Linked DNA regions of Caenorhabditis elegans. The protein of the gene in region 1 purifies or fractionates together with the protein of each later gene. This does not show direct contact. Each region holds a gene or a part of one and is shown in the gene's direction. Other genes may lie near its edges.

Evidence for each region. Proteins that work in one complex are often made in the same cells at the same time.
Region 2: the proteins of T01E8.1 (region 1) and dbd-3 fractionate together in Caenorhabditis elegans (co-fractionation; one large-scale study listed by BioGRID). This does not show direct contact.

Annotation. Positions count from the first base shown.
Region 1 is NC_003280.10:10,204,343-10,210,710, forward strand, and holds T01E8.1 (F-box domain-containing protein), read left to right. Parts: upstream 1-2,382; 5' UTR 2,383-2,433; coding exon 2,434-2,559; intron 2,560-2,607; coding exon 2,608-2,922; intron 2,923-3,188; exon of another isoform or gene 3,189-3,209; intron 3,210-3,442; coding exon 3,443-3,574; intron 3,575-3,624; coding exon 3,625-3,738; intron 3,739-3,783; coding exon 3,784-4,017; intron 4,018-4,065; coding exon 4,066-4,508; intron 4,509-4,563; coding exon 4,564-4,750; 3' UTR 4,751-4,919; downstream 4,920-6,368.
Region 2 is NC_003280.10:4,769,051-4,773,542, reverse strand, and holds dbd-3 (DB domain-containing protein), read left to right. Parts: upstream 1-2,160; 5' UTR 2,161-2,161; coding exon 2,162-2,382; intron 2,383-2,429; coding exon 2,430-2,553; intron 2,554-2,604; coding exon 2,605-2,865; 3' UTR 2,866-3,010; downstream 3,011-4,492. Other genes in the region: dbd-4 (DB domain-containing protein), read left to right, coding at 519-668.

The DNA of each region.
Region 1 (6,368 bases):
AAAAAATCTGGCCCCTTCCTCTAATGTTCCCAAGCAGGCAAAATATTTAAAGATCATTTTATTACCACAGAAGCAGTTTTCAACATTCTCACTACTGATGCTACTCTACCTCAAATACCGTGGCGTTTGCTATTCATTTCCCAAATTTTTATTGAATCATAATTTTAAGATCAGTTCCCAACTTTTTTTTTCAAATTAGTGCATTTGCTGGAGTATGTGTAAATTTTTGTAGACTGGTGCTGAACTTTGAAGACTGTTCAATTGTCCCAATGAGAGCCCAAATAACCCTAGCCAGTGGTGCTTTCTATATGTCAAAACTCGTGATGACGTGGCGTGTAGTCTAAAATCCTCGAATCATCTTCTGCAGTGAACTTCCCTCTGTAACCTTTGCTCGAGGCATCACCATTTCACCCATTGAAAACTCTCGGCTGCTCCCGTCACATACTTCAAAACATCGTCATGCCCTTTGCTTCTTGTCATCCTCTCCAACACATACTCTCTCTGCGATCCCGTGTGCATCTGCTGAGAGCTCTCGGGCTCTCTCAGATTCTCTATGTCATCTCTCTCTCTGATCTTTCTTGAATCTCTCTTCCCGACGGGATCTCTCTCATCTTCCGCCCAATTCCCAACTTTTTTGCGGCTTCAAAGTTTGTTTTCCCTTCCTTTTGTTATTTTCCTATTTTCTTCCATTTTTACAGTAAAGCGGAATCTGAAATTTTATCTTCAAAAATTTTTTTGCTTCTAAAAAATCTATCATCGCTTTATTTGGTCGTTTCAAAAGCTGAAAATAAATTATTTCAAATTTGGCACAATGGGCTGAAAATTATCAAATACCAAAAGCGAAATTTTAAAATTTTACACTTCAGTTTAGCTTTATAAACTTTATAGCTTTTTATTAATATTCTTAATTTTTTAGATTCATTTTGAAATGTTGAGTAGATGCAGAGGGGAGATTGGCAAACACCGATTTTTAGTGGTGAAGTAACCATAGTCATAGTGAAACTACTGAAATATTTTGAAAATTTTTTTACAAGCCTTAATTTTTAAAAACTTTAAAATTTACGGCAAATACTCATTGACTCCAAAATCATTGACTACCTGTTCTCATTGCCTACCCTTGCTCATTGACTACCCTTGCTCTTTGCCTTCCTGTTCTCATTGCCTATCCTTTGCTCATTGTCTACTCATTTTCTTCATCAGTCAAGAGGCACGTACAAGGACCGTTTTCCAAGAATACATCAAAGGTACATCTACTCAATTTGTTCATTCATTCAAAGGGTATACATATTTACAATCTTTCAATATGTACACAACATTTCGGGCAACAATTAGTAGTAGCTGAGTCATGTTTTAATTTATATTAATTTTGATAGGACACGAAAAAGCTGGGCAACATTCATTATTCATCAACATTAATAGCAACAATGGCAACAAAAAACAACAATTAAAAATTTGAAAAAAAAGTGACAAAGAACGTAAAATCAATAACAATGAAATTTGGCATAAGAAATTCATTCGGAGTCGAAGTCAATCACTCGTTTTCTGCTTTTGAGTATATAGGAACATGACGCCGTAGTATCAGACATGTCAGACAAGGTTGCACTGGAGTTGATGACTCCGAATGAATTTCTTATGCCAAATTTCATTGTTATTGATTTTACGTTCTTTGTCACTTTTTTTTTCAAATTTTTAATTGTTGTTTTTTGTTGCCATTGTTGCTATTAATGTTGATGAATAATGAATGTTGCCCAGCCTTTTCGTGTCCTATCAAAATTAATATAAATTAAAACATGACTCAGCTACTACTAATTGTTGCCCGAAATGTTGTGTACATATTGAAAGATTGTAAATATGTATACCCTTTGAATGAATGAACAAATTGAGTAGATGTACCTTTGGTGTATTCTTGGAATACGGTCCTTGTACGTGCCTCTTGACTGATGAAGAAAATGAGTAGACAATGAGCAAGGGTAGGCAATGAGAATAGGTAGTCAATGATTTTGGAGTCAATGAGTATTTGCCACAATTTACTTGTTCAAGGATTTAGCTCTTTCGTGTAGAGGTTAAAACTTTAAGGCCGAAGGTGTAGGTCGCCTAAAATGCAGGCGATAAGTTGTGTGCCTACAATGTTTTCGTTTGTCTCGAATTGTGTTTTTTCCATTAATTCGGTTGTTTATTTACCCAAACACTTCACCTTCAATTGCAGAAAACCTCAATGTTTTGCTTTCCGAAGACCAAAATAGATATTTCATAAAATTTCTCTCAGAAAAAAAGAGAATAACATGTGGAATGTGGTGAACAATTTCTATGAATTTTCTCTTATATCCAGATGCTTTTTCATTTGAACCTTTGAACTTCAACCCTTGATTTTTATTGTTGCAGATCTTCACAACATATACAGGGTACCAAAAATGTATCTACAATAACTATACCATGGTAAAGTCCCTTCTGAATCTGTGTCTTTCGGCTGTGTGCCAACATGAGCTGAACAGTGAGCTGAGCTTCATCCCAGTTGAGTGTCGTCAGAAATTATTAGAATTTTTCTGTAGTCATGACCAGGTGAGTCGGCAAACTATCAGACCAACAGTTAGAACATCCAATTTCCAGCTTTCGGCATCAGATTGCTCGACACTCGTGTGCTCCAAATACTTTGGCTGCAATATCCCATCTCTAACATTTTATTTGTCAGCTGAGCTTACGGACGAGATGCTCAATCAACTGACCACCAACAATAAATATGTGGAGAAAATCACGCTGGTCGATTGTCCAAACGTCACTAACCTCGGAGCACAGGCGGTCACCACAGGACAAATTCTGCTGAGACAGTTGGAATTGAGGGCAATGCACCAATTGACAGATCAGTGTTTGGAGAATGTGTACAGTCCATTTTTGTACTCGGTTGATTTATCTGGATGTGGAAAGGTGAGAGGCCTGATTTCGAGACTTTTCTAGAAAAGATCTCTCGAACTTTGAGAATGCGCCAGAAAGGTGACTATGTTTGCCGAGCTTGTATCGGAGATGTGCGGCATACACAGACAACTTACAAAATTCAACTTTTCTCGTTGTTTTTTTTTTTGAAGTTTTTAATCCGAAATGTGTATAGAAATACATAGAAAGTATTATACTTTCAAAAAATAATATTACTGTCACCAGAGTTTTTTTTATGTTGCAAAATGTCATCACATGGATACTTCGAGTAAGTTTTTGGGCAACTTCTCAAAACTTTTGATTAAAAATGAAATTATGTTTTAATTTTAAAAAATTATATAAACAAATATTTTTTTAACAAAAATTTATAATTTGAAATGTTGACACAACGGTGAGAAGAATGGTATTCTGTAAACTTTCTCTGCAATTTTAAAATAGATAAATATCTGTGCTCAAATTTGTAGAAAGAAATAAATATTTCACCTGCCATTTTCAAATTTTACTGTAATTTCAGATTACGAGCCAAGGAATTCGAACTCTTCTCATCAAAAACCCGACGATCGGATGTTTATACTTAAACCACTGCCGCTCCCTCGACGATCAAGTATTGTATGACATTGCTCACTATGTTGGAGATCGGCTTCATGTTGGTGATCCTTCCTATATATCATATAACTTACTTCCTTATTATTTTAGGTTCTCGAGCTCGACTTCCCAACATCCTTGGCTGATCCAGCTGCTGCTCTTCACTACTTGTCCTCCCAATGCCCAAACCTTTCACAGCTGTCCTTGGCTCGATTTTTCCACGAGGTACTAGACATATGCTTTTTTATTATGAACTCTTTTTTTCCTTAGAACCTTGAGGATGTTGAAAACAATGTTCAGTTTGTGATCGATGGAGGGAATTTGAAAACATTGGATTTGTACGGGAATTACTTTTCATTAATGCCACAGCTTCCACCAACAGTTCAATCGATTCGATTATCAGTGTCTGGAGATGAAGACTCACAGCAGTTGCTCTCCACTTTAATGGATCAACCGTTTTTGAACAGTATCAATTTAATTGTATCAGTTAGAGAAGCTAATATTGTAAGTTTAAATACAAGTTTATGCTTTACAAGAAAAATGTATTTCCAGCAAGCCGTTGACAATGCAAATCACCTTCTCTGTGCCATTATCCCACTTCTTGGACATAAAATCACCAAGCTTCAAATATCAGTTCCACGTCTTTTCGATGAACCTCTGAAACTTGTCACAGAATACCTTCCAAATCTAACTCACCTTTCTCTTGAAATCAATCATCTCAATACCAATATTCTCCAAAAATATTTTGCCGGTGGCTCAAAATCGAATGCTTCAAAGTTGAAATGTTTGAAGATTTGTCGAATGAGAATGACATATCGAGTTCTTTTTGCAATTGCTCGTGGAGCTCGTAATCTCACTGATCTTGAAACTTCACATATGTCCAGCGTTGATGATCGATTTTTATGTCTTTTGGGTGGAAATTGCCGACAATTAAGATGTTTGAATATTAATGGATGCAGAATGGTCAGCGATAAAGGACTGGCGGTTTTGGCAAAGTAAGCCTTCAAAATTTTTTTTGAATACTTCAAGGTTAACCTAAAAACATTCCAGACGTTGCCCTCTCCGTGAAGTCCGAATCCGTGGCACCGCCTGCACTGACAAGTCCATCTATACACTGGCACAATTCTGTCCAGAGCTCGAATGGATCTCATATGCCGACTATTCAGGTCGTCCAAAATTCTCCGATGCTGCACTTCAATGTCTTCGTGATTCTTGTATTCAGAAAGTTATTTGTTGAATTGTTTTAAGTTCTACATATTTTTTCTTACAGGTCTAAAAGTTTGTCTGACAATTTTTTTAAAACAATATTAATATGAATATGTAATTTCTGTATGTTTGCCGTGGGATACCTCAAAAGATATTTAAAGTCCATGTCTGATTTAAATAAAATAAAACATTCCTATTCGAGAGTAATGTATGAGAGGAATTAGGAAATTGAGAATTTTATGAAAACATTGATTTTTTCAGAAGTTCTTGAATTTTCTACATGTTCCTATAAAAATTACTTCCTTTCTCGAAACTTTCCAGAATTTGTGACTTTGGTAACCGTATATTTAGTGGAGATTCCCATCATACCACCTGCTGAGCCGGTGATCTTTTCCTTGCTCATCAATTTATGCGGCTCCCACTTTGGTGGTGATTATGAGAAAATGTGAACTAAAAGCTTGAATTTGAAGATTTTTTTCTAGATGAAATAACTACAATAACAATAACTTTTCAGAAACATAAAGTTCCCTTTTGGGATGTTTTTTTTCTGGAAAACGTCTTTTCAACACCAATATGTTTTCTTCATTTTTCGTAAAATACCCAGGATCTGTCACTTTGGTAGCCGGATATTGAGCCCAGATTCCCATCATACCCCCTGCTGAGCCGGTGATCCTTTCACCTGATCCAAGCGGTTCGCACTTGGGTGTTTTCCGAGATTGACTGAAATTGAGGATGTAGATCAGAAGATTCCGGAAGTTATAATCATGGGAAAATATAGTTTTTGCTAATGAGAAATTGAATTTTGGACGTAGGGCAATTTCTATAGACAACAGAAACCTAACATTCCAAAATCTTTACTTACAAGCTCCCCAGGAACATTTAATTTTTTTGCAACAAATTCGAGGTCGTTAGTCAGTTCATCAAGTCAGTCGGGATATGGTGTCTGCATAAGGTGTCGGTGTCTATAAAAACGTTAGTGTATCGCTCAAATTTATGAGCGCCGCGCGCGCCGAGTCGGCCTGTATCAAAGGGACACACGTTCAGATTTATGGCGTGTTCGTGCGAAGATGGGCGCCTTCCGCACTCAAGATTTGATCGCCAATTCCCAATTTGTTGCGAAAATTGGCGAAGAGATCGGACGAATCGAGGAGACGCGGAGACACGTAGGAGGACACGCTTTACGAGGAGGTGTACGGTATAGAGAAAGGACATATTTTATGAAGGTTCCAGTGACAATGATTTCTAGTGATATTTATGGCACAGACATTTTATATGGCTTTTGTCGTTTGCTACGATAATATCGCATTTTTATTGTTGGATCAATTTTGAACACTACTGTAGATTTATACTTTTGTAAAGATCTTTTTTGGGTTCTAGGTCTCTACGAGAGTAATCAGGCTTTTTGTAAGATACACTAAATTTAAAATCTTTGTTTATTCACGTACAGAAAAATTTAAAGTTTACAGGTTTCGGGTGGATTTCATTTTGTGAGTTGAGTTAAAATTGGAAACCGCTCAAACTTTCTTCAAATTAAGTATAATTAAATTGAAATTCACTCGAGCTGAATTCTAGACCATATTTCAATTCCACACTGCCTTTAAATAAATATTTTCCCATGGTAATTATTTCCGGAATCTTCAGAGTTTAGG
Region 2 (4,492 bases), 5.4 Mb from region 1:
TATACCGTTGAGAACTTTCTTTTTTTCTGAAATTTTCTAAAAGTTTTACTTATTAGAATTGCACCCACCTTACTCTTCTTTGACAGCTTATATCTCGATTTTTTTGGTGTTATCAAAAATTGTCAACTGACAAAATTTGTCCGAAATATTTTTTCTACATTTTGAAAGTGAAACATTCTTTGATAAAACTTAAGACAGTCGAGATATAAGCCGTCAAATAACATGGCCGTAGGTACAAGGCAGATGTAGGTTTTTTGAAGGCTCACAAACAGGTGCAGAATGCATTAAAGGCAGGCAAGCAGGAATTTTTGTAAAAAAGGATGAATAGTTCAGAATAGTTAATTTTTACAATCATTTGTTGTAATCAATGTTTTTATAAAACTTTTAAGCTGATCACAGGAAAAATAAGTTAGCCAGATACTCGTATACATATATTTTTTTCTGTATTAATTGCCGCAGAAATTTTCCAAAAATTTCCAATATGCTTCCAACTTCTTAAAATGTTTCCCCAATTTCAGAATGTTCTCCCACTGTGTCGTGCGTTCTGCAACGCGTCAAAATCCGTTCCAACCGATGTTCTTAAATATGGATTTTGTACATCTGAATTTGACAAGTACCGTCTATGTTTCCGTACCCATCTTAAACATCACAAAGCAATTCGTCAGTGAACATACATTCTTGAATTCTAATAAATTATAAACTTCCTTCTGTTTTGTTGAATTTCAACTGTCTTCGTTTTCAATTGAATTGTTATACGTCAGAATTGACGACGGTAAGAAAAAAATTGAAGAACAACAAGAGAATAATTCGAAGCGAAAATGGTGATGGATAAGAAAAAAAAAGAAAAGCGATTAGGCAATTGAACCGGTTTTCGGTGTGGGACATTTTGATGGTCAGCTAACAAGAGAAACACTTGCCATTATCTGGCTTCTCTTATCAATATATACATCTCTTATTATCACACAATCATTTTTCTTTTCCTCACAATTGCAACAAAATGACATTGCTTGTGAGGAATGATATATAGTTTGATGACGTTATCTAGGTGTAGTTCTGAATCTGAATGTTTATTTTGTTGGTGGTTGAAATTCTGTGTGACCTATCTGATTTTTTTTTCAAATTTAATTTTACGACTTTTTTCGATTGAAAACAGTTAAACCATTGTGAAAATTGGGAAATAGCTTCACACTGTAATTTTGATCACCCGAACTTGAGATCTAGACTACATTCAATTGCAACTACCTCCACCCATCATTTCTCAATAAACCTTTCTGTCACAGCTTCTCTTCTTCGTTTTGTTCTATACTATAATCTTCAGTGAAACTTGAACAATCCCCTCCTATCGGTAGTATTCTTTTTCATTCTGAAACCTATAGTTGTCTGTGTTTTATGTCAGTTTCTTCAGTCTTTGACTGACATTGAGATTACTTTTGACATCACTTCTATTACAGTTTCAATTCCCCGTCTGATGACTAATTCGGCTTACACTTTTTTGTTTACACTGTAACAAAATGCTGTATAAATTTGGTTTAAAATCAGATTTTTGGTCTCAATTTTGACCATTTTAAGCTGATCGAAGCTTATATTTTCTGATAATTTTTTTGGCACAAAGTTCTTAAGAAAACACAAAAGTGTATGTTCAAGCTGATTTTAACATTGTAATAATTATGTCATACTTGTGGTCGAACAAAACACATGTACATTTTGAGATTACCTAGATTTAGTTAATCCGGATGACAATGAAAAGTTTTGTTTCTTTTTCAGAAAGTGGGTAAAACCTAGAAACCTTGCCATAGAACGTTTCAGAGCTTTTATAAATTAGGTGCAGTAGAGCTTAGCTTTCAAGACGGATCTGAAGATTTCGTGTTCAATTCAGATACGATTTAATGCCTACCTGCCTCTCGAGAGCCTATCCACGTGCCTACCTAGTTTTTACTATCTGGCGTAAGCTTGGGTATTTGGAATTTTTATAAGATCCAAAAAATATCTAGAAATTTAACCTTGAGAAATTTGAAAAAAAAATTCCAAACTTGGCAGCAAAAGCTGCCAAATTTGAGCAATAGAATATGATTTCTCTAATTAAATCCCTTCAAATTTTTGTTTTTATTTTGCTTTCACAAATGCCACCTTAGCTTCAAAATATCTTCCCCTAATTTCCAGCATGAACTACCTAATCCTTGGCAGTCTCCTAATCGTATGTGTTTCTGGTCAAGGTTGGCAATGGAATCCATTCAACCAATGGCAACAACCAGCTGCACCAGCATGGCCACAACATCAATGGGGAGCTCCAGCTGGATTTGGAGCACAGCCACAGACACAGGCTGTCGCTGGACCAGCTCAACACGGAGTCACAAATGCCGTTCAGGATCGTATCCAATTAATGTAAGCAATTATAATTTTGTTTAAAAACTTGAAATGGGAATTTTTAGCTATGGAGTTCCTGGAAGACGTAATGCCAATCAAAAATTGAGAGTGTGCTGTAGATCTTTGAAGGACGCCGATGTGGATTGTAGAAGAAAATATTGCGATTTTGATGCTTTCAGACCAGACCAGGTAACAATTATCAAAAAAAAATTATCTTACACATGCCTGCCTAACTTCCAGGTTCTTGGCTTCCTCGGTGAATGCTCTCCAAAGGGTCCAACAGTCGGTCAAATGTGGGATTGTGCATCTTCTCGTGCTGACCATACTGCTTGCTGCCAGCGTCAAGGCGTTATTCCAGGATGTATGGCTTACTGTGAAACTACCAAAGGAGTACCTACTGATTACTTGAAATATGCTCTCTGCATTGGACAATTTGATAGAATCCGATACTGCTTCCGTGAGCATCTTGAAGGACATCCAAATATTAAGGGAGACTCTTAAAGAGTTTTGGAATCGAACATTTGTCACTGCTTTATTATAATGCTATCTGCCTTGTCTTTCAGTATCCATGTGTGTTTTTCGATATTTATCTGTAAATATAAATATTCTTCACAGTAATTGTTCTAATAATAAAGTTTGAAACAAAAACTTTTGCATCCATGTTTCCAAACTTCTTAATTTCCAAATTCTGCAAAAAATTTCTAATAAAAAAAATTGGAGCTACCGAAGATCTAAAAATTTTGAATTTTTTTCTCCAGATGTTTCTAAGAAATGTTAATTTTTCAAAAAAAAACTCTTAAATTTTTGCTACATTTTTTTAGGTGGTTGCAATGAGATGGGAGCACGAATTATAATATAACTTCGCTAAAATTTTCGAAAGTTTGAAAAAAGGAATACAATCGTTTTTTTTTTGAAATTTTAATATGAGCATTCTCCATCATCGATTTCAACATTTTTCTCCAATTTTACGACCAATAAAATCTAATAAAAGCTTTTGCTTACATAATTTTCCATGCTAAAATTCTCCAAATTATCAATAAAAAACATCATCCCATGCCGAAAAATGTGACCCCGGTCAAGCGATCACACCCTCCCTGATAAGAGCTGTCAATCGAGCCCCGTTCAGCGAAAAATTGGTTATCAGTACACCTCAAACTCGATAATCGACAACTTATAACCATCATTTCTTGTTTTCCGCATTGACAAATCTCAGTTTTTGTGGTAAGTGTTCTATTTTTAAAGGTATTCCAATTCCATCTGCTTTGTTGACCTACCGATAAGCGCTTCCGTAAACTGTACACAAAATACTCACTAATTTGGTCTTAAAACTTGAGCAAATATTTTTTTAAAAACGAGAAGAGAAGGTCTTTAGGATTTTGCATATAAAAGGTCAGTCACATCCAACGAGAAGCTTTAGTTTTTTTTTTGCGTTTTTTTCAATTCAATTTCTACATGACAATTTCAGTGCCAAAATTTTTTGGAAATTTCTGAAAATTTAGAAAATCTGCAAAACACCGAAAAATTGTTTCCTGAATATTTCGTTTCTTTTATAATGCGGGCACCCCCCCCTCCCAAGCTTCATATCTGAATCACATTTCCCAATTTAAAAGTTAATGCGAACGCGTCATACCTACTTTTAGAAACGGATTTCTATTGACGTTTTTCTTGCAATTGCTATTTATTTTAGGAGAGCTGATTCATAGATGTTCATAGCCAATCAAGTGACGCACGCAAGAATCGTACGCACTTGTCGCAAAAAATTTCATGGTCATTTCCATTTTTCTCATACTTGACTTTTCATTCATTTTATTCTATGATAACTGTGTCAAATTACATGTGTTTCGGTCAGCTGATTCCTTTTCCGAAGAGACTTGTTTATTGTCCAGATTTTCTTTTCTGATAAGACTGTTAAACAACACTTTTAAATCACAAATTTGCGTGGAATTGACAGCTGGTGAAAATAAAATGATGTGTTTGTGATGGGAGGGAATGTTCAAAGAAAATTTATCAATGTTGAAACAGTCATCATAAATTTTGAGTCGTTTTCCCGGAAATTGAAAATTTGATTTTTTTCAAAAGTTGAATAGTTGTATTCTTTGTATGCCTGTAATGCAATGAGAATGGTGTT